4 linked regions of the Cricetulus griseus genome follow. The protein of the gene in region 1 interacts with the protein of each later gene in a pairwise test. Links are inferred from orthologs where the notes say so. Each region holds a gene or a part of one and is shown in the gene's direction. Other genes may lie near its edges.

What was found.
Region 2: the proteins of Syncrip (region 1) and Nupr1 interact in a two-hybrid assay, tested with the Homo sapiens proteins (2 studies listed by BioGRID and IntAct). The link is inferred for Cricetulus griseus from reciprocal best matches to the Homo sapiens genes SYNCRIP and NUPR1.
Region 3: the proteins of Syncrip (region 1) and Prmt8 interact in binary tests that used the Homo sapiens proteins (3 or more experiments, as listed by UniProt). The link is inferred for Cricetulus griseus from reciprocal best matches to the Homo sapiens genes SYNCRIP and PRMT8.
Region 4: the proteins of Syncrip (region 1) and Prmt1 interact in binary tests that used the Homo sapiens proteins (3 or more experiments, as listed by UniProt). The link is inferred for Cricetulus griseus from reciprocal best matches to the Homo sapiens genes SYNCRIP and PRMT1.

The regions. Positions count from the first base shown.
Region 1 is NC_048597.1:198,399,183-198,404,620, reverse strand, and holds the start of Syncrip (heterogeneous nuclear ribonucleoprotein Q), read left to right. Parts: upstream 1-2,195; 5' UTR 2,196-2,390; intron 2,391-3,691; 5' UTR 3,692-3,703; coding exon 3,704-3,851; intron 3,852-4,545; coding exon 4,546-4,664; intron 4,665-4,769; coding exon 4,770-4,877; intron 4,878-5,438. UniProt on the Homo sapiens protein: Heterogenous nuclear ribonucleoprotein (hnRNP) implicated in mRNA processing mechanisms. Component of the CRD-mediated complex that promotes MYC mRNA stability.
Region 2 is NC_048596.1:74,154,824-74,160,189, forward strand, and holds Nupr1 (nuclear protein 1), read left to right. Parts: upstream 1-1,868; 5' UTR 1,869-1,956; coding exon 1,957-2,068; intron 2,069-2,413; coding exon 2,414-2,544; 3' UTR 2,545-2,557; intron 2,558-3,716; 3' UTR 3,717-3,944; downstream 3,945-5,366. UniProt on the Homo sapiens protein: Transcription regulator that converts stress signals into a program of gene expression that empowers cells with resistance to the stress induced by a change in their microenvironment.
Region 3 is NC_048601.1:18,724,832-18,729,787, forward strand, and holds part of Prmt8 (protein arginine N-methyltransferase 8), read left to right. Parts: intron 1-918; coding exon 919-1,061; intron 1,062-1,626; coding exon 1,627-1,714; intron 1,715-4,956. UniProt on the Homo sapiens protein: S-adenosyl-L-methionine-dependent and membrane-associated arginine methyltransferase that can both catalyze the formation of omega-N monomethylarginine (MMA) and asymmetrical dimethylarginine (aDMA) in proteins such as NIFK, myelin basic protein, histone H4, H2A and H2A/H2B dimer.
Region 4 is NC_048599.1:153,869,373-153,874,981, reverse strand, and holds the start of Prmt1 (protein arginine N-methyltransferase 1), read left to right. Parts: upstream 1-1,744; 5' UTR 1,745-1,815; coding exon 1,816-1,851; intron 1,852-4,079; coding exon 4,080-4,133; intron 4,134-4,338; exon of another isoform or gene 4,339-4,438; coding exon of another isoform or gene 4,439-4,441; intron 4,442-4,625; coding exon 4,626-4,727; intron 4,728-5,609. UniProt on the Homo sapiens protein: Arginine methyltransferase that methylates (mono and asymmetric dimethylation) the guanidino nitrogens of arginyl residues present in proteins such as ESR1, histone H2, H3 and H4, FMR1, ILF3, HNRNPA1, HNRNPD, NFATC2IP, SUPT5H, TAF15, EWS, HABP4, SERBP1, RBM15, FOXO1, CHTOP, MAP3K5/ASK1, MICU1 and NPRL2.

The DNA.
Region 1 (5,438 bases):
TACAAAAGTGCAAGGGAAAAAAGGTCTAAGATACAAAAGGAATGTAGGTCAGATGGAGAGGTCTCATTCTGAGAGTTCTTAACATTGCCTAGGGATCAGCTTCTTCTTTTTTTTTTTTTTTTTTTTTTTTTGACAGGGTTTCTCTGTGGCTTTGGAGGCTGTTCTGGAAATAGCTCTTGTAGACCATGCTGGCTTCGAACTCACAGAGATCCGCCTCCCTCTCAGATTTTAAATGCATGTGCCACCACTGGCTTGGGATCCGCTCTTTTTAAACAAGCTCTTGTATTTAGGATCATTAAATAAAACCTTCAGTTTCAAGCTTTGTCCACCTTATTTAATCCATAGGCTTTTAAAATGACCTCTATTAGCATTTTGGTTGTTGGTCATTGATACCATTATCCACACCTTTTGAGATATGAACTAAAATCTCCTTGAATTAATTAAATCCTCTAGCAGGAATATGTTTGATAGGGATTTAGGCAGTGGATATCCAGGGCTTTATTAAACAGGTAAGGTTAGATAGTACTTCAGAAATATTTTCTGTGTTGTCCACCTGTCAAAGCACCATTTTATGTGCCTAGCACTTTGAAGAGTATCTAACTTTCTTTGGGCTACTGGCTTGCTATTATAGCATAACGCTCATTTAGGGGGAATCAGTAGCTTTCTAAAAATAACCTTTTTTTTTTTTGTCAAAAGGATAATGCTATTTTCATTACCGTTGCTCTGGATAAAACTAGTATCCATAGCCGGGCGTTGGTTGTGTACGCCTTTAATCCCAGCACTCGGGAGGCAGAGGCAGGCGGATCTCTGAGTTCGAGGCCAGCCTGGTCTCCAGAGCCAGGGCCAGGATAGGCTCCAAAGATACAGAGAAACCCTGTCTCGAAAAAGCAAAAATAAATAAATAAAATAAAAAATTAGCATCCATATCGTCTGGGATACAAGCGCCTTTGTCTTCTCTTTCTTGTACCTAGTAAACGGTTACAAAGGAAATGTCACTTCACATAACATGTAGTTACCAAGATGTTTGAAAAGAGACACGGACATTTTCCTCACAGTTGTCCTAAATCACGAAGCTTTGTGCTGCTTCAAGTTGTTCAAAGTGTGCCAGGAGGAGCACTCAACTGCTTCGAAGGCCAGGGACAGGAACGGAATATTGCACAACCCAACACCACCGGGCCGGTTAAGCTTCCAAATCTGGCCTCCGTGTCATCCCCGGGCGGGAGGCACTGGGATTTCCTCGCGAACCCGCCGCGCGGTGCCCCTCCCTCCGCCCAGGGGACTCGTGGGAGCGGGAGGACGGCGCGCGCCGGGCCGCGGGATGCCCCATTGTCCAGCGGCGGAAGCCGGGGCTCCCCGGGGTGACTCCCGAACTCGAGCCCCGCCACCCGGCCGCCCGGAGCTCCGCCATCCCCGTGCGGCTCCCCCCCGCAGCCCCATTGTCTGCCTCGCCTCGCCCCGCCCCGGGGGACACGTGCGCCTGCAGCTTCCCGAGCGCCCAGGGGCGGTGCGGCGGCGGCCCCGGCCGAGGTCCCGGCCGAGCGGGCGATTAGTGCCGGAGCCCCTCGGAGCCCTCGGAGCCCGGGGGCCGGCGGCGGGGCGGTGGGGCGGTGGGGGCGGGGAGGGCGGGGTGGGGAGATGCTTGTCTCCTGACAAAGAACGAGTGGGACACGCCGAGCAGGCCGCCCCGCCCGCGGAGCGCGAGGGAGTGTCCGCACGGAGGGCGGGTCTCTCATTCACTTGGCCCCTCATCGCCGCCGCGGCGGAAGGGCGGGGTCTCGACTCCCCTCTCCCCCTCCCCGCCAGGAGCTAGGGGCGGGGCGGGAGGCGGAGCCCACGGGCGCGCGTCCTGAGGCGTCGGCTGCGTCGTCACGTCAGCGCGGGAGAGAGAAAGAGCGACTCGGCAGGGACTGGGGACGGGCCGAGAGAGCTAGCGAGGGAGGGCGTGAGCCAGAGTGCCAGCGAGGAGGAGAGAAGGGCGGCCACTCGTGTCTGAGCGGCCGCGGACGGGAGTGGGGACGCTGGGGGAGGAGGTGCAGGGAGGGAAAGGAGGAAGGCCGAGGGGACAGGGCGGCCGGCGGCCGGCGGCGGCGGCGGCGCGGCGGCGGCAGGGGAGAAGGAGGAGCTGTAGGAGGGCAGGGGCTGAGGGAGTGAGTGAGAGAAGCGGACGCGCCAGGGAGGGGAGGGAAGGGGGGTCACGCGGGGGCGCGCGCGCGCACTGGGAGCGCGCTCGGAGGCGAGTGGAACTGGATCGGGTTTGCTGCCAGCGGCGTGAGCTTCGGCCGCCATTTTACAACAGCTCCACTCGCGCCGGACACAGGGAGCAGCGAGCACGCGTTCCCCGCCACCCGACCCGGTCGGACAGGATTCCTCGGCCGCAGCCCCGCGGGGAGGTAACGACCGCCGGCACCCGGGTCTGGGAGGGGGGCTCCATGACATTGTGGAGGGAGCTTGGGGGAGGGCGGCGCGGGGAGAAACCGGCTTTTCTGGAAAATGGATTCCAAGGGGGAGAGGAGCACGTTGGCCGGGGCTGCCAGGGAGTAGGCCGCGGCCGCGCCGCCACTTCCTCCTCTCCATGTGCTGCCGCGGCCGGGCTTTGTCTGCGGCGCTCCGGGAGGAGGCGCCTCGGCAGCCCCGTGGCCCGCGCGGACCGCGAGCGGCGGGCGGACTTGGTGCTGTCGTGGCCGGCGGCGCGGGAGTGGGCGGAGAGGCGCGGGGTGCTGTCCCGCGGCCGGCCGGCCGGCCGGCGGGCTTGGGCGGTGCTGGGCTCCCGCGGGCGTGCGCCTGGCGGCGGAACGCCCTCCCGGCGCGGGCTGTCGGCCTCGGCGCCCGCAGCCGCTGCACCGAGGGGTGCGGGAGGCCGGGGGTCGCGGGCGGCTGGGGAGCACCCGGGGCGGAGAGCCATGTGTCAAGGCGGAGACGGCGGCGCTGGGGGGCGGGGAGAGCCCGTGGCCTGGCGCCGCCGCGGCCTCGGTGTTGAGAGGCGAGATTGTGCGGCTGCACGGTTCGGGGGGCTCGGACCGCGACTGCGGGTTGATGTTGAGAGGCGGTGACGACCGCCTTGGCCCGGTACTCGGTGGGTTTCCGTTGAAGGAAGTTGTAGGACATTTGAAGGCGCAGAGCACGTGTTTCTAATGGGCTCCTGGCGGCCGCAGTGGTGAGGCTGCCGCTCCGGGTGCGGAGTCGGGGGCGGGCTTTGGGGTGTGGGGGTGAAGGGTGGAGGAATTGGGTGGTGGGAAGGTGGCTTGTGTGAGCGCTTTGTTCTTCGCTGGCTGTTGTTACTGATCTATAAGCGGCAGGCGGGAAAAGCGCACTTTCTGGTTTACCTTGGAGAGAGACAAGCCCAGCGTTGCTTTTCTTCACACACACCTTATTCTCCGTTTTGGAACTGCTGCATGTGGCAGGCTCGGCCGGTCCCTGTGCTGATTGGGCTTCATTTGTAATACGGTTTTTCCTAGCGAGTGTTAGCAGGTGAAGTCAGGGGTGGTGATCAGGAAAGAATGTAGTGCATCGGTCCGTCTGTACCCCGGGCTCCAAATCTGGCTTGTCAGGCGATGGTGACTTTAAGGTTTCTTTCGAGGGAGGCGCAGGCTGGCTGGTTGTAGTTACTGGTAGAAAGTAAAGATTGGGACTGTCATTGTCCTCTATTCTTTTTGAAGACCCTAGTTTAATTTTGCTTATTGCGTTTGAACAGATCTCTGGAAACATGGCTACAGAACATGTTAATGGAAATGGTACTGAAGAGCCCATGGATACTACTTCTGCAGTTATCCATTCAGAAAATTTTCAGACATTGCTTGATGCTGGTTTACCACAGAAAGTTGCTGAAAAACTAGATGAAATTTACGTTGCAGGTAAGAAACAACACTTGCAAAATTACATTATGAAATTTTTCTATTGGATTTCTGGCTTTGAGCTAAAATAGCAACTTTTTGTGGTTTCCAATAAATGTGGGAACTGGAGCTTTGCCTTGTTCTGATAGTTGGTTAATTTAGGTTTGATCTAGAGGTTAAAGTGTAGAGGGAGGGATGAAGTGGGGAAAAGACCTCCCTTAGGGGAACGCTGTCTGGCCTGACAGATAAGTATATGATAGTAGCAACAGCTGCTAAATGTTGAGAGCAGCCCATGTGACTTTTTGGGGTATTTTTAAAGCAGGGTTCTTGTTTAATAACTTGGTTACTGTAGGCTAGTTCTCTTGTTTTTCTTGGTGTGGTGGTTCCTTTTTTTCTAGTGGCATTTGACATTGAGTAGACTTGCAGTTGCTATGCTTGGTGTTTTGTTGGTTGACAGGATTTGTAGGCTTATATATTGTAGAAATATTGCAGTGTTCAGGATTACTTGGACACAAATGGGATGTAAAATATGTTGACTTCTTTCTGTGTGGTTGAGAGGACTTAGCTCAGAATGGCTAAAATATATTCTTCATTATGTAGATAAGGGGAGTAGAATCGCCACGTGTGTGTACCTGTATTGGCCAATACAGGACTTTCTGAAGAAATAATTTGGAAATTTTAAAAGGTGATAACTAACTACATTTTCTCTTTCCAGGGCTAGTTGCACATAGTGATTTAGATGAAAGAGCTATCGAAGCTTTAAAAGAGTTCAATGAAGACGGCGCATTGGCAGTTCTTCAACAATTTAAGGATAGTGATCTCTCTCATGTGCAGGTAATGTTAATTTCAGTGTAGAAAAAAGTACTTTTGATCTTATTTAAATTTAATTAGACACAGACATAATAGTAATGTTAATATGAATGGAAAATTTCATTACAGAACAAAAGTGCCTTTTTATGTGGAGTCATGAAGACTTACAGGCAGAGAGAGAAACAAGGGACCAAAGTAGCGGACTCCAGTAAAGGACCAGATGAGTCAAAGATTAAGGTATGTTTTTGAGAACTTTCTGTAGCTTTAAGTGTGTGTGTTTTGTTTTTGGAGACAGTGTTTCTCTGCAGCATTGGAGGGTCTTTAGACCAGACTAGCCTCTAACTTAAAGATCTGCATGCCTCCACCTCCCAAGTTGCTGGCATTTAAAGGTGTGTGTGCCACCACTGCCCGGCCTTTTTTTTTTAGTTATTTTCTAGCTTTGGTAAATATTCCTGCAGTGTGGCATGAATATATTTCTAAGGTTATTGTCTTTTAATGGCTAGATTTTGAAAATTAACTTACAATTCATTTTATCTTGACTGGCTACCAATGATCCAACCTGTGTTGTCGCTTCCAAATTAAAAAAAAAAAAAAAGATGGATCAATGGTTAAGTCTAAAGTTATCCTTAACAGGTTACTGACAAACTAATTGGGGGCAAATGGTTGTTTTCTTGGGAGGCTTAGGTCATGGTGAATTTGGAATTTTAATATTGCCTCTCAAATTGTTACATTTCTAAAAACAACTTTTGACAATAATGCTGTTCAGTGTGGTAAGCAAGGACATTCATTGGGTTGGGA
Region 2 (5,366 bases), on another chromosome or scaffold:
GTGGTGATGTGCACCTTTGATTCCAACACTCGGGAGGCAGAGGCAGGTTGATCACCAAGCTCAGCACCAGCCTGGTCTACAGAGAGAGTTCTAAGCTATCCACAGCTACAAATTAAGAATGCCTAAAATGGGGCGGGGGTGGGGGCGTACAAAGACCTGTTTGTTTCATCATGCCTTCCACATCAATATATTATTTTACTTAACATTTAAAAGCCACATTTATATATTTGTATGTGTGTGTATGGGCATTTGAAGGTTAGAGGACAATATGTGGGACACTGTGTCCTGGACACCCCTGAACTCAGATTGCCAGGCTTGTTGATAAGTACCTTACCCACTGAGCCATATTGTGAGCCCACAATATTTTATTTTATTCTAAATTCTTCTTTTTCCACTCTTCTTTTTGTCACAGTGAGGGCACTGCATGGGAAACCATGGGAAATTGGGACAAACCCTTACGCTGTTTGCAGCTAATGCAAGGGCCTTTCCAGGCATTATGTCACTGGAGACTCTCACCAACCAAGATTGATAGGTGTGCCCAAATTCTGAACCCCAAAATCACCGAGACCCATTCCAATGCAAAAGCAAAGAGTCTTTTATTGTTTAACTAGTTAACTGTCTTAACTGGGTTCCCTCATCTATCCAACACAGTAGTTGGTCTGAGAAGGACCTGAAGGGGCCTCGAGGCAGGGAATTTATTGGGGAGAGCGACGGGAGTGTCTAAGGGTATGCAACAGTCTCAGGATTGGTGCACTTCCAGGCTTGGATGACCTATTCTGTGTTGATTGGTCAACGGGTTGTTATGGCCCTCCCAGGGCGGTTGCTATACTTTGTATGCCACTGTTATGCCACTTTTACTGTAAAGCATGTCCAGAGCCTACCAGCTAACTTCTGATTGGTTCCTTGCCACGTGGAGGGTATCTGACCTCCTAGTGACTAGCACAGTCTGGCAAGGTCAAACATGTACATGTGCTGAGTCAGAAGCCTACATCTTGCTGGGTCTTTTCTGCAGCCTGTCATGGCTGCTAAAGCAGGGCACTGGGTGAGGGTCTGGTCCCTTCAGTAGGGTTATCCTCTGTTAAAGGGGGAAACTGGAACAATCAGAGAGGGAGAGTGACATGTCCAGGGTCACACAGGAAACAGTGGATCTCAGCTGACTTGTTGAGTTTCTAATTCAAGCATTTGGGATGCTGAGGCAAGAGAATTACAAGTTCAAGAGCCAGGCTGGGCTATATAACGGGACTCTGTCAGAAGGAAGAGCAGAGGAAGGTTGATTAGGGGTCAGAGTGTTGAATCCAGGGTGTTTGTTGTCTCTACCAGCTAGCTAGCCTGCATCTCCTTGGATGAGGGGAAGTACCTAGGGACTCTATTGAAGTACAGTAAGGGGACTTTCCATAAAAATAGAAGCCTTGGGTGTGACTGGATAGGAACTGCTGACCTGGCATGAAGCGTGTCACTGTCCCCTCCTCTCTCCTTTTTCAGGGTGTATGCTGCCACCAAGTCCTGAGTCTGAACCAGACTAGAGTGGTGGTGGGAGCAATGTGTAGCCATGACCTAGAGCCAGGCAGGGCTTGTGGCAGAGGTTGAAATGATAAGGAGTGGCCCATCTGAGGCCCTCTGCTCTCCCTGGCCAACATGCCAAAGATTGTGCCCACATCCTGTCTGCTCCCTCCTCCCCGAGAGGCAGGAGTCTTCCATGTGGAAAAACACAGCTGGGCCTGGGTGAGCCCTGTGAGGGAGGAGGAAGGGCAGGGTGTGCCTCTCTGCTCAGGGCTGGCGTCTGTGGGCCCAGTTCTGGGGAAAGGCCAGATTGCATCAGACAGGACTTGAAGGGCGGGAGCCAGCCTGTGGTCTGAGGAGGAGACAGCTTTATAAGCAGGGGTGAGGGAACTGGGTGAGGGCAGACAGCTGGAAAACAAGACACAGGCAAGACTTTGGAGAAGGCAGAGCAGGGTGATGGCTACCTTGCCACCAACAACCAGCTCCTCCCAGCAACCCCTAAACCCAGAGGATGAAGATGACATCCTGGATGAGTATGACCAGTACAGCCTGGCCCATCCTTATATCGGTAGGCCTGCTGGGCAGCTCTTTGACTTCTCATCCTCCTCCTTGGATTTGGATTTTCTCTCCCAGATTGCCTTCTCTAACTAATCTGCTCCCTACCCCAAAGTAAACCCAATCTAGCCTCGTATACTGAGTTCTGTCCTCCTCAGCTCTGAGGGCTCGCTTCTAAGCATCTCTCATTCTATACATTAGTAAACAGCAGGGATAGAGTGCCCCAACCTCACAGGGCGACCACCAGCTGCCCTCTGGCTGTTCTGCCCTTCTCATCCCTATGCCCCAGGCATTTGTCTGTCCTCTGAACCTCACACCTCTCCTCTGCCCGTGTCCCTTCTACCTGTTGCTCCACCAGTCGGGGGAGGCCGGAAAGGTCGTACCAAGAGAGAAGCTGCCGCCAATACCAACCGCCCTAGCCCTGGTGGGCATGAGAGGAAGCTGCTGACCAAGTTCCAGAACTCTGAAAGGAAAAAGGCCTGGCGCTGAGGCAGAGCTGGAGGTGAGGAGTCACGAGCCAGAGAGCCAGTAAAAGTGGCTTTGCTTAGGGTGACAGGCCTAAGAGTGTAATTGAGTAGGAAGTGGGGAATCAAAAGCAAGCCCTGGGCTGGTGAGATGGCTCAGTAGGTAAAGGCACTTGCTGCCAGCAGTGACAACCTGTGCTAGACATCTGGGACCCACATGATGAAAGGGGAGAGAATCAATTGCAAGTTCTCCCCTTAGGAGGACCCTGCAGGTATCCAGGCAGGGAATCGAGCCTGAGAAGAGATGGGAACGAAAACCTAGTGCAGATCAACTTTGTCAACCTGGATCAGGCTTCAGAGAGGCTAATACCAGGCGGTTCACTGTCAGCCTATTTTAAGCTCTGTACAATTTGGGAAAAGGTTTCCACGCAACAATCAATCCAATCAGTTCAATTCCAGTTGCACAATAAAACTTAAAGCGTGACTCAGTAGAGACTCCTTTACAAAGTACATGTAACCATGAGGATGGGTTCTATAGCTAGAAGACCTAGAATCTAGTGTGATCTCTGACCAACAGCATAGAGGTCAGCAGGCTGTAAAGTACTTGTGACATCTCCCCCCAAGGATGGGTAATGGTCTAGGGAGGGAAGAGTCTGGGATAATCACTTTGGGGAATTAGGGTGAGGCCTGCCTCCTGGTCACCAGGTTGTTAACAAACCCACTCTCAGCTTTCTGGATGGAATGCAGGTATTTGATTTCATCTCCTCCATTGAGGAGACACCCTGTGTGATTAACATTCCTGGTTCTCTTAGTGCTTCTCTGGGAGTACAAGGACCATGCCCTCAACATCCTCTGACCTACCTCCACATGCTCACAGAGACCCAAGCATATGAGAATACTCATGTGTAGATACTCATGCATGCACACTCACATTCCAGTAAATAGAAAAAAAAAATAGGGTGTCATCTACAGCAAGAATGAGACCCGTATTTAACTCCGAGTTCCACTCTGATGACCAGAATGGGGGAAGTTTCCCATAGAGCCTTTCCAATTGGGAGGAAATTTGGCTTACAGAAAGGGAAACTGAATCTTAACAGAGTCAAGTACTTCACTTAGGCTACAGAAAAAATAAGTAGGGAAGCCAGAATTCAAACCCAGGTCTCTGCCCCTTCCACCACCTGCTTTCTCTCTCCACAGATGAGGCCAGACCACAGACATCACACCCAGCAATGGAAACAGGACAACCACACCCAGCAATGGATTAGGACCTTGGAGAGATTAGGAGATACAGGCAAAGACAGAGACCTGTTTGACTCTTTCCTACCTAAGTGAGGTTCTAGAGAAGGGACACCAAAAAAGCCCTTCTAGATCCAGCAAAAGGGCACGATCGGAGCAACAATCAGGGCAAGAATGGGGGAACTAGTACCCCCAAAAAGAAATGTGAGAGAAACCAGACATAAATTGGAGCGCACCTACACCCATTAGGTGAAGTGCTGGGTACCCCCACTGCCACTCACTGTTTTTCTTTGTATTGTCAGTAATGTATTGCCTTGTTGTGTGACCTCCAAAATTAGAGATTTTTAAGTCAACTAAGAGGAAACAAGGGCTGTAAGTTTAGTCTTGGATTGGACTATGAGCAGCAACAATAAACAGTATAACAGCGACAGCTTTCTTGTGTTTTGTGGTGTCATCTGTTTTGTGTCTGGATGTGTTCATGGAGTGTCTCTCTTGGGTATGTATTGGAATGGCAGTTTCCTTGTTGTGTAGGACTGGAGACTGAGCAGGTCCTGGTACTGGTACCTTTCTGTAATGTATGCAGATACTTTTGGGTGCCTCTTTCTGTGGTCTCTTTGTGGGAAACTATTTTGTTTCTTTGCATTGCTACCCCGGAGACAAACTGTGGCCAGCCCCTACACATTCTCGTACAGGATGAGGTCATATTTAGATAAAACTGCTTTTTTAAAAGAGAATGTTACTATTAATACCATTTGCAAAATGAAAAAAGAAACAACCAAAGATTTAAAACATGGGGAGTATTGGCTGGGAGGTAGAGGCACACGCCTTTAATCCTGACACTTGGGAAGCAGAGGCAGGTGAATCTCTCAGTTTGAAGCCAGCCTGGTCTACAGAGTGATTTCCAGGATGGCCAGAGTTACACAGAGAGATCCTGTCTCCAAAACAAAATAAACTAAACCAATAAACAAAAAAACATGGGGAGGATTTTTTTTTTTAAGTGGGTGAGGGTTCAAATCCAAGCATGTAATAACAGGCTGGCTTCCAGGACAGGGTTCCGGTCCACTGGGGTAAAGGTTCTTGGTGGTTCTCAGGACCAGAGTTCCAGGAGAGTGAAGCAAATGAGAAGATGGTCGGAACCAAGTGTTCAGTTACTGAGGTCTGAGTTAGGGCTGCTGTAATGACACTGAGACAAAACCAGGTAGAAAGTTCTCTCACACAGAATAGCTCCAAGAGTAAATATTCCTAAATTACAGATGGCAACTCTATTGTACTGGGGCTCCTGCTACTTTTAGCTTACTGTCTGCCACACTCCATACATTTCTACTCTGAAGCCCCAAATAGCTGCTTTAGTAGCTGCCATCACATCTGCATCTCAGCCTGTGGAAAGGCAGGAAAGAGGTTACAAGAAGCCACACATATTTTCCCCCTTTCTGAGACCGAGGATCTCTTTTTCAGGCTGGTCTCAAAACTCCTGGACTCCAGTGGTCCTCCAGCCTTGACTTCCCGGGTGCTGGGATTACAGGCATTTATCACCACTCCCATTTTCCCTACTCATTTTTAAGGGCCCCATTTGAAAGTAGAACATACAGTGCTTGCTCACAGTTTAGTCAC
Region 3 (4,956 bases), on another chromosome or scaffold:
CCTTCTGGATCAGCTAATCAAAAATTCAACTAAGACCATTCTCCTGCTTCCATGGGATGGGAAGTCACTTCTCACAGAGAGGGGGGGCTCTATCCTTTTCTCTTCTCCATATAGTGTTAAATAAGGAACATGTCTGCTATGTCTACCTTCTATTGAGCCTTGTCTACAGGACTGGCACTTCCTAGGTATTGTTTCATTTCCTCAACACAGCCAGCCTGACAAAGACCTCATGCTCTCTGGTATTCTTTGGGGAACTGGATGGGAATTGTGTGGCCAATGTGATGTGTGTAAAATCAGACAGTTAATTAGAAGACCCAGCATTTAACCCTGGGTTTCTCTGTCTGCTGAGTCCATGGTCTTGTCAAAACACCAATTTGCCTCCTTCACAGACATTCGATGGGCACCCACTGAATACAGGGCATTGGCTGTGCACAGATGCAAGAGCAACACACGCAGTGTCCTTTGCGCAATTCAGGTCTGAGTTGTCATGGTAACCTCACACGGAGCAGGGAGTGCACAGTAGGGCAGTTACAGTCCCATTCTATCTGACCTGGACTCTGTTTCCATGGCCATCACCTCACCCTGAGACCTCAGTTTCCTTCGCTGTACAAGAAGGCGACGATAACAATACACTTAGTTCTGAAGGCAGATGGCATGACACAGTGTACTCTGCCGGCTTGGGACCGAGTCGAATGCGCAGTAAGTGTCCAGGACCTTTGATGAGGGACACACTCAAGCAGCTGCTTTCAAAGACCTTAGCGTGTTCAGTAACCAATAGGCTCCTCTGTTGGAGGATAAGGTAAGTCACACCCTAAAAGCTGGAATCGAGTGGGGCTCAAAACTCAGCAGTCCGGCAGCAAGGATCCCACGGTGCCAAAGGGTCCTGGCACAGCATGGCTCTGGGTTCTTGTTTTCTAGTCATTACCATATTTAAGGGCAAAGTGGAGGAGGTGGAGCTGCCTGTGGACAAGGTAGACATCATTATCAGTGAGTGGATGGGCTACTGTCTGTTCTACGAGTCCATGCTCAACACCGTGATCTTCGCCAGGGACAAGTGGTTGGTGAGTGGTCCGCATGCTGCCCCCACATTATTTGGGTGGCTGTCTCGCCACACTTCCCATCGCCTCCCACCTGGGAGGAGCATGAGACTTCCAGAGAGGAAGGGTCTAGAAGACCACTGTCTTGTGGCCCTCTCTTCAGAGCACAGCTGCTTCAGGGGAACGAGTGGTCAACCCTGGTCCAACACGCTTAGCTGTCAGACTGTATAACCATAGCCGGTCTAACTCTGTCCCCTCTGGCTAGAGCAGCAACCCATTTTCTCTTGTTAAGACCGCCAGAGAGCCGGGGGTACTGTTTGCCAAGGCTTGGCCCGAACCACAGGCTGGCTCTCCGCCCCTCCTTGATTTGCCTTTTGCACCCCGCTTGTCCTGTCAGCTCCACCCGGGCTCCTAAGATTCCCCCAGCTTAGGATGTGTAACTGGCATGTCCAGCCAAGCTGGTCCGTCCACTAAGTGAGAGATGCTGGCAAGGGGGTGCTTGTCTGGTGACTCTATGTGCAGTTCAAAATGTGATGTCTTTGTCAGGTGAATAGATTACGAGACCCATTTCCCCACAATTCATCAACAGAAACCTGGAGGGCTTATGTTTCCAGACCGGGCAGCTTTATACGTGGTAGCAATTGAAGACAGACAGTACAAGGACTTCAAAATCCACTGTAAGTCACCTTACGGGGTTCTTTGTTGCATTTCTGTTGTGTACTGGGGGGTGAGAGAAACTTCACGGTGGACAGCTGGTGTCCTGGGAAGGTTTATCTGTGACCCCTCTGGGTTATTCTATGGAGTCTTTCTCACTATCCCCGAGAGGGGGAGGTCTACAGAGAATACGTGAACAGTGTAGCTGGTGAAAGGTAACACATCTGGGAAGTGAGAATGGACCATGGAAATGGGGTAGCAGGAGTTGTGTTTGTGCATCGAACAGCAAGGCAGGTGGCTTGTAGTGTCAGGCCAGATGTGGCAGGTCTCACATCAAGCCAACCATTTTGAAACATGCCTCCATGCCTATCAAGTTGGTCAAAATCACTACGAGTCTGTGTCACATTTGGTAAAATATGGATTCTTCTCTGAGGTTCCTTTAAGGATATGTGCGATGAGGTGGGGAGGAGTAGAGACTCTCAATCAGATAGTGTGTGTGTGAGAGAGAGAGAGTGTGTGTGTGTGTGTGTGTGTGTGTGTGTGTGTGTGTGTGTGTGTGAGTGTGTGTGACAGAGGCTCATATGTAAATATGTATCCATGATGTCTTACAAGTTAGGATAGTGTCTTCTCTCAGGCCAAATGGCTCAGTGTAGGTACATTCCTATAGCCCAACACTCCGGAGGCCAAAGTAGGAAGATAGTAAGTTTGAAGCTAGCCTGGGCTACACAGCAAGACATCCTATTTCTCTCCTTACCCAACTCCAAACAAAATCAAGTGTGGTAGCTCATTTCTGTAATCGCAGCATTTAGGAGGCTGAGACTGGAGGATTAACTCAAGTTCAATATCAGCCTGGGCTACAGAATAAGGCCCAGTCTCAAAATAAAACAAGACAAAAACAAACTAAAACAAGAAAAACATACCTTTGCCAATATTTTATCTAGCTCTAAAGGACCATTTTATTCTATTTCATTTTAAAAGTTACATTCTTAGTGGATGGGTCTGGTGTTTGGTAGAACGATATCCAGTGTATTTCTGTCAGGTGAGACATGCCCATGCCACCTGGAACTGCAGATGGCGATGGAGCAAAGAGCCCTTTAACCAATCAGCACACCAGCATTCAAAAACAGAAACAGGAGGTAGGAGCTCTTAAGATGCACAGCCACCAGTGTGTCCAGGTTCACACCCCGGGTTGCTTACTCCTGCTTGGAGAGGTGGCTGTGGAGGGTTCACACACTCTTCTGGAAGCTGAAGGTCGAAGAGTGAAGCTTGGAGTCAAAGTTCAGAAGTGGAAATGAATGAGTGCCATGAAGCTCCATGCCTTGGAGCCCTTCTAGGTCACCGTGATTGCTAATATTTGACCTCAAGAAAGGAGGACACAGGTCTCTAAATGAAAGTCAGGAGGTGTGGGGTGACTTGGGCGAACACTTTGACTCCTGCCAAGCCCAGGGTTCTAAATGTGGGCATTGCCATTCACTGACTGAGTAACCTTGAGCCTGTTACCTGACTTTGGGCCCCAGTGAGAGGTGATGCCCTCAATCCCAGTGACTTGAAAAGACTAAATCAAATGATATATGCCAAAGAACACCACTGTTTGTGGAGCGTGTAGGAATAGGCCAGGTTTAGCCTATGAGGGAGTAAACCAGCATCTTGTTCTGCTCCAGGCTCTGCAAACTTGCTAGCTGGCCTCTGGTGGCTTGGAATATGGGCCGTGCATCTCCCCATAGAAGACTGAAGAAGCCACTGAGCAGTGAACAGTAGTCAAGTGTGTGAAAATAGAATGCAGATCACCCCAGAACAATACTGTGGAGCTTGTGAGGAGTAATTGCCCTGAGCAGTGTGTGTGGAGAGAACATTCCAGCACACTCTTCACACACACACTACTTAAATATTTATCGAGCTCCTAGGAAAGCTCTTTATGGAGCTGCCTTCTAGTTTCCAGAACAAAGCCACCTCCTCCCCACTTTTCTCCCTGGAACCTGTTGGGAGCCCTTGGAGCAGGCACATTGCAATGAGCCATTCTGAACCCATTAGAGGAAAGGACAGTGGCTGCTACTTAGGGGACAGCCCAGAACTGGAGAGCATGTAATTTATTCTTGTGGTTCCTATTGCGGCCTTTACAGCTCTGGCAAAGGGAAAAGCAAATTAACACTCAAACAAACAAAAACTGAACAAAACCATAAGTCAGGCCCCATCTTTTCCTTATAAAGTATTTACCTTGGAGTATCCTTTTAAAAAGGCTGACGCTATAGTTCTGTGGTAGAGTACTTAGTTGGCTCCAACCGCCAGCACCACAGGGGGGGAAAAAAAAAGCAACATCAAACATCAAAATCCCTAAATTCCCAAAGAACAAGATTCTAACATTTATATTTTATTTAGGACACGGTTAAGTTTTCTACTTAAATGTTTTTCTTTCAAAGACACATTTTTAGCTAAAGGAAACAGGCCCATTTAGAGAAACGTGTTTGAACAACAGCTTTTGGTTGCTGGTTGCCAAGGGAACAGTTACAGGCAAATTTCAATTGGCCCAAGAACCACAGGAACAACGTGAATGTGGGGCTTGTCCAGCCCTACAGAAAGTAAACTGTTGAGGTTGAAAGCTTTCTTTCCCATCACCTGTCCCCTCTCCTGCCCCTCGCAGCCAATCTCAGCCATGAGCATACAACATAGTATAGACCCTGTCCTTTCTCTATTGTCCAGTTAAAGGGAACCTGGCTGGCAGAAAGGACCAGGTGCCTGACCTGCACTGGCTCAGGGTGTGCTTGTTTTGTTGGACAAAGCAAGGAATAACACATCAGAGAAATGTGCAGCCGTGTTTGAAAGAGGGACAATCAACAAAAGCCAGGCCCTACTGCAAAGGAGACTTACAGTCTCTAAGTTGGCTTGTATATCCCTGCCACAAATCACCCAATACTAGACTCTCCTACCTGTTGAGAAGGAAGGCCTGGTGTAGAGGCAGCTGTATTGCAGTCAGAGGGCTGCAGGCTGTCTCTCAGAGGGCTGGGGTCCACCTGGTTTTTCCACTCTCTACCCCTTACTTCCAGAGCATTGCTCTTAGACCTGTATGTTTTTATGTGAGGTCTCTTCCCCAGTGTTCACTTTGCTACTGGCAGCCTAAAACACATGAGGGCATGATAAACGCCTTCAGTTCTTTACAGTGAGGCTATACGTGGGACCCTGAGGCACCCCTGTTTTCCTCCGGAGGCATTCTGAGCCAGTAATCCTGGCCTTCGGCCCTCACAGAGAAACTCAGGTCTTTCTGGCCAGA
Region 4 (5,609 bases), on another chromosome or scaffold:
AAAAAAAAAACAAAAAAAATAAATAAAACAAAAAATCTATATTAGCAGCCATCTAATTTTGCAGATTCCTTGTGTTGCAGATTCCTTGTGTTAGGTCATTAAAATATCTTGTCAGAGTGGCTGGGTAGAAGTCAGAATGCCCTATAGTCACTAGCTGTAGATAAAATCTCTTGTCCTGAAAGAAAACCAAGTTCGATCCCTTGTACCATGAGAAATGGCATGGAAGCATAAAGGTGGCAAGAGCCGCAGGTAACTAGGGTGGAACTGTAAAGCGGGAATGGAGGTAGTTTAAGGATTGAGACATTGTCCTGGGGGTGCAGGGAGGCCCAAAAAGGCCATAGGCAGAGATGAGCTGCAGGGATTGGCAGGTGGGAGCACTAGGGCTGAAGGCCTTGGGGATTGACAAAACTGACGGAGGGAATTGGAGGGAAAAGCCCAGAGGCTATTGATATTTGGGATGAAGTAGCAGGATAGGCAGGAGTCAATCAAGAAATCATACTGAACCAGGCAATGGTAGCGCACACTTTTAATCTCAGCGCTTGGGAGGCAGAGACAGGAGGATCTCCGAGTTCCAGGACAGCCAGAGAAATTCTGTCTCGAAAAAACAAAAAGAAAAATCATACTGGCTGGAAGAAGTTTACACAAGCCTTAAATCCCAGCACTTTGGAGACAAAGGCAGGCTGTACCATGAGACTCTGCCTCACACCAGATACCTTACGTGTGCAGCAGATGGTGCAGTGCTTGCCGCTCAAGACTTGACACACGCACGCACACGCACACTAAACAGTGTTAGGAGTCGGAAGGAAGAAGGTCATCTGAGCACGAGGAGGCCTGGAGTGGAGAGGCACATTTGGGAACTTAAAGGACCCTGTGCTTGGGCCGAGTACTGGTGGGACAAAAGGTAAGAGGCAGGGGCACAAACCCAGCAATTGGCATCCATCTTCAGGCCAGGAGTAACTTTCTGCAGATCCAGGGAAACTTCCTGGAGGAGATGGAGTCCAAATTGCCGCGTGGGAGTTGGCCAAACAAAGGGAGATGGGTGTTTCATGCAAAGGACTAGGAGGCCACAGGTCTTCAGAACTCGGCACAGTCCAGTACAAGGTTATGGCTCATCGCACTGACATTCACTACGACTCCTGACAAGTTTCAGGACCCCTGATGAGAACGCCTCCACATCTACTCACAGCGACTCGGCATTTTCCCCTAGCTCGCCCACGCGCCCCAGTTCCGGAGAAGCCACCGAACGTTGATGACTGATGTTCCTGGGAGCCAATCGCTTCCGCCCAAAGCCCCGCCTACCTCCTTGTGGGCCAATGGTCCCTGTCGTTCTTGGCCAGTCTCTCGAAGGGACTGGAACAAGAGCCCTGCAACGTCACGTTTTGCTCAGCTAATTGCGGCGACGGAGAGGCGGGCCATCTTAATGATCCACAGCAGAGTCTCTCGACATCCGCTTAGCGCGGAGCCCGCCGGGAAGCTTCAAGGCGGAGCTGGCCGGAAGGAGGCGGGAAGACCTGGTGGGATATCCTCCAATCATCACATGCGCTGCCTAAGATAGACAGACAGTTGTTCCCTTCCTAGCCGACAGGAGGGGGTGGTCCTTTGAACGCTAGGAGGGGAGGGCGCCCGAATTTTGATAGACGTGCTCAGCGCCCAATTGCAGTGCGAGGCGGTTAGATTGACGGCTGCGCCAGCCATTGGAAACTTATGGCGGGGTCTCGGGGGCCGGGCGGTGGACCCTCTGGTAAAAGGCGGTCCCCGGCCGGGGGGAGAGAGAAGAAAGGGGGGGGTCTCGGAGGCCGGAGGACTCGGGTGAAGATGGCGGCAGCCGAGGCCGCGAACTGCATCATGGAGGTGAGTAGCTGGGCTCTTTAGGCCAGTGGGTAGGGGGAGGACGACGGGTTACCCACGGCCTGAACTGTGGAGACGGGGCCTTGGGTGTGCTGGGCCTCGCGGAGGTCCGCATCGGGGGATGTGTTCAATCGTGACCGGGGCGACCCCAGCTTATGGGACTCTCGGACCCCGCAGTCGAGTCGAGGGCCGTCGCACGTGGTCGCGGGCCGGGGGCGCGTCCAGCCGGGCCGCACGTGGTCGCGCAGCGTAGCGTGGGGAGGGGGGTGTGCCACTCGAGGGGCCCCGCGGGTTCCACGTGCGGGACAAAGGCCCCGCCCCCGGCCCGGTGACCTGGGCTGCACTCCGGGGGTCCTGGGGGGTGCCACCTGCGTCCTGCTGTCCGCTGGGTGGTGGACATCCGTGCACCCTCGTGGGGCCTGACCTCACTTTCCTCCACTCTGAGTTACCCCTGTGCGGTTGGGGGGGGATGGGCAGAGCCCTGTGACCTCTCTGTTAGAGGATGGTGGGGCATCTCCACCGAGGAGATCCGGATCCGGCGCCGGGCACCCCCTCGTGGTCATTATGGGCTTGTGAAAGGGGCTCTTTTTCATGGGGCGTGGCCCAAAGCCCACCCCCTCATGGAAGCGCCCTCGGGTGGATGGTCAGAGGTCGGTCTTGGGGCTGGATGGCTATGTAGGCACGCAGACCAAGGGGCCTTGACCCCCACCCGACCCCTTTTTTAGGATTCTCACCTTTGCCTAATTTCCCCCCCAAAACAGAATCAAATTCTAGCACCTGGCTTATTTGCTTACAGTTGAGTGTTTCCACCCCTGAGCTGTATTCCTCAGTCCACTTTTTACTAACTTTGATGCAAAGTGGGTCTGGCCTTGAACTCACCCTGTAGCCCAGGCTGGCCTTGAACTTGCCATCTTTGCTTAAGCCTTCCGGGTAGCTCTCGTGAAAGACTTCACTACTAGGCCTGTAAATCAGATCCTCTCCTAGTCTCAGGTTTCAAACCCTCTTCAGGAAGCCGTGTGGTGGTGCATGCCTTTAATCCCAGGACTCGGGAGGCAGAGACAGGCGGATCTTTGTGTGTTCAAGGCCCATTAGAACAAGTTCCAGGACAGGCTTCAAAGCTACACAGAGAAACCCTGTCTCAAAAAAAAAAAAAAAAAAAAAAGCCAGAAACAGAACAAACCCTCTTCAGTCAGTTGTTAACCTGCTGGTATCTGTACTACTGAAAAAGAGAGGCCCACATGGGAACTCCCCCCACTGGCTACCCGACCCCTGAGGTGGTAGATCGTGGCCTCTCTGGCCTTAGATAGCAGTCATCTATCTAATGGGATAATGATGGGATATAATCTGGTGGTACCCATACCTCTTCAAGTTCTCTGGAGAGGAAGGTCAGTTGCTGGGACACCTGCCATGGGGATCAGTTCGCCTACAGTGTCACTGAAGTGACCCTGGGCCTGGCACTTGTGGACAAAGGAAAAAGAGGGCAGTTTTCAGTGTGGGGACCAAGGTGGGGTGTGAAAGGGGGGGCTTTCGTAAGCTCACACGTGGCGGTGGGGCTCAGGCGGATTTTGGCAGAAATATTTATCGTAACAGCTTGCCCCAGCTTTCCAAGGCATATTTTGTACTCCTGGGGGGCAGCCCTCTTCCGGGGGCAGGTAAAACAAAGAGCCTTGCTCTGTGTGTTCCTTGCCCGGGTGGAGCTGGGGTGGTGTACTCACTGTGGTGTGGGGGTATGCCACATTTCTCTATTGGAATGATCTTTGGCCAGGAGACAGGATTGTGATGGGGCAGACAGGTGCCCAGCACCCATTACCTGTCAGCCCCCTCCGGTTTATTCATGGCACTTCAGCCTGGTGTGTCTGTCAGGAAATGTCACCTAATCTAGGGGGGATTAGGTAGTGAAGGGGAGCAACAGCTGAAAGTGCCCATGTGCCTTGGCAGGTATTGGGCCCTCTGGCCTAGATAGGGTAGGTATGTGTGGCCAGTTATCTGACCAGAGAGGGACAACATGGGGCGGGCCACCATCTCTTCAGCCAACAGCTGGGACAGGAGACCCCACCTTCCTTTCCCTCCCCACTTGTATCCCTTCCTTACACAACTGCAGCCACACTGCTTGCTCCTGCTTACACCACTCCCATGCCCAGGAAAAGCCAACCTGCAAAACACTCACTGCCCCAAAGGCCTTCCCCAGCCACCCCAGTAGCTAACCCTTTTTCCCTGTTACTCTCTCCTAGAATTTTGTAGCCACCTTGGCTAATGGGATGAGCCTCCAGCCGCCTCTTGAAGAAGTAAATATCCTTTTGTGAGACCCCCCCAGCCCACTTGCATATAAGCATACTTTGATATGCACCTGGCTCCTCAGGAGGTCTATTCATCCTCTTGCTTCAAACCAGTTTCCCCTGCTGTGGCCCCTAAACACATAGGACAGACCCCTTCCTGGCCCAAGCTGGCTCCCCCAGAACCATGGCTGCTTCCTTAACTCCATCTCCAGCCCTCCTCCTCTGGCTTTCAATGTGTCTGCCCTGGCTCTGCCCTCCCTTCCCTCCCTCCCCAGCTGTGGGCTGAGCTAGAGACGGGCATAGAGCCTGGAGAGATGGTAGGCGAGGCGGCTGCTCCCTGGATGGTGCTCTGGGTGGGTTCTGAAGTGGATACCGTCCCTTGGGAAGAAAGATGCCGGAGGGGGCTGTAGGGCTGTCCCATTCTGAAGAGGGGCCTTCTTGCAGGTTGAGGAACCTCTGAAGAGCCCACCTGTGACCCTTTTGCTACTCCCCCTCTTTCAGGTTTCCTGTGCTCAAGCAGAAAGCAGTGAGAAGCCCAATGCTGAGGACATGACATCCAAAGACTACTACTTTGACTCCTATGCCCACTTTGGCATCCATGAGGTGAGTGAAGACTTACCCTAAAGCCAGTACATCCTAAAGGGCTGAAAGGTTGGGCGGGGGTGAATGAATCCACATGGGCCCTGCTACCCTTCTTCCTGGGTCCACTGCCTTGGAGGTTGGTTAGCCCAGTGCTCTGCAGGCTGGCCTGCATGCTGCAGACATCAAGATGAGGTCAGGCCTTGCGGGTGTCTGGCGCCCTCTGGTGATTGGCGGTGGGAATTGGTCCACAGTTCATGCTGCACTTGTTTTTCCCCAACCCTTTTGATGGAGGAGACACAGGGTTCAGTCAACTGAAATGGCATTCTAAGGAATCCTCATCTATTCCTCGGGCCTTCCCCTCCCCCAGACAGGGTTTCTCTGTGGCTTTGGAGGCTGTCCTGGAACTAGCTTTTGTAGACCAGACAGGTCTCGAACTCACAGAGATCTGCCTGCCTCTGCCTCCCAAGTTCTGGGATTAAAGGCGTGCGCCACCACCGCCCGGCTCCTCGGGCCTTTAAAACATGCCTCCTCTTGGAATGTGGCTAAGTTGTCTAGAATGTGCTAGATACTGGCCTTTATCCTTAGCATCATAAAGCGGGGCGGGGGGGAACACTGGAAAATATGCATAAAACAAAATCAAACTTTTAGGGGTCTTGGGACATTACCTCACTTATAAAGGTCTTGCCATGCAAGCATGAGTTGCAGAGTTCAATCCCCAAACCCACTTACAAAGGCAGACATAGGACTGGCAAGATGGTTCTGTGGTCGTACCAAGTGCTTGCTACACAAGCCTGATGGCCTAAACTTGAATCTTGGAATTCAGACTAGATGGAGAACATTGTCCTGTGGCCTCCATATTCTGCATGCCCAATAAGTTTTAGAATACCAAGCATAGTAGAGTGT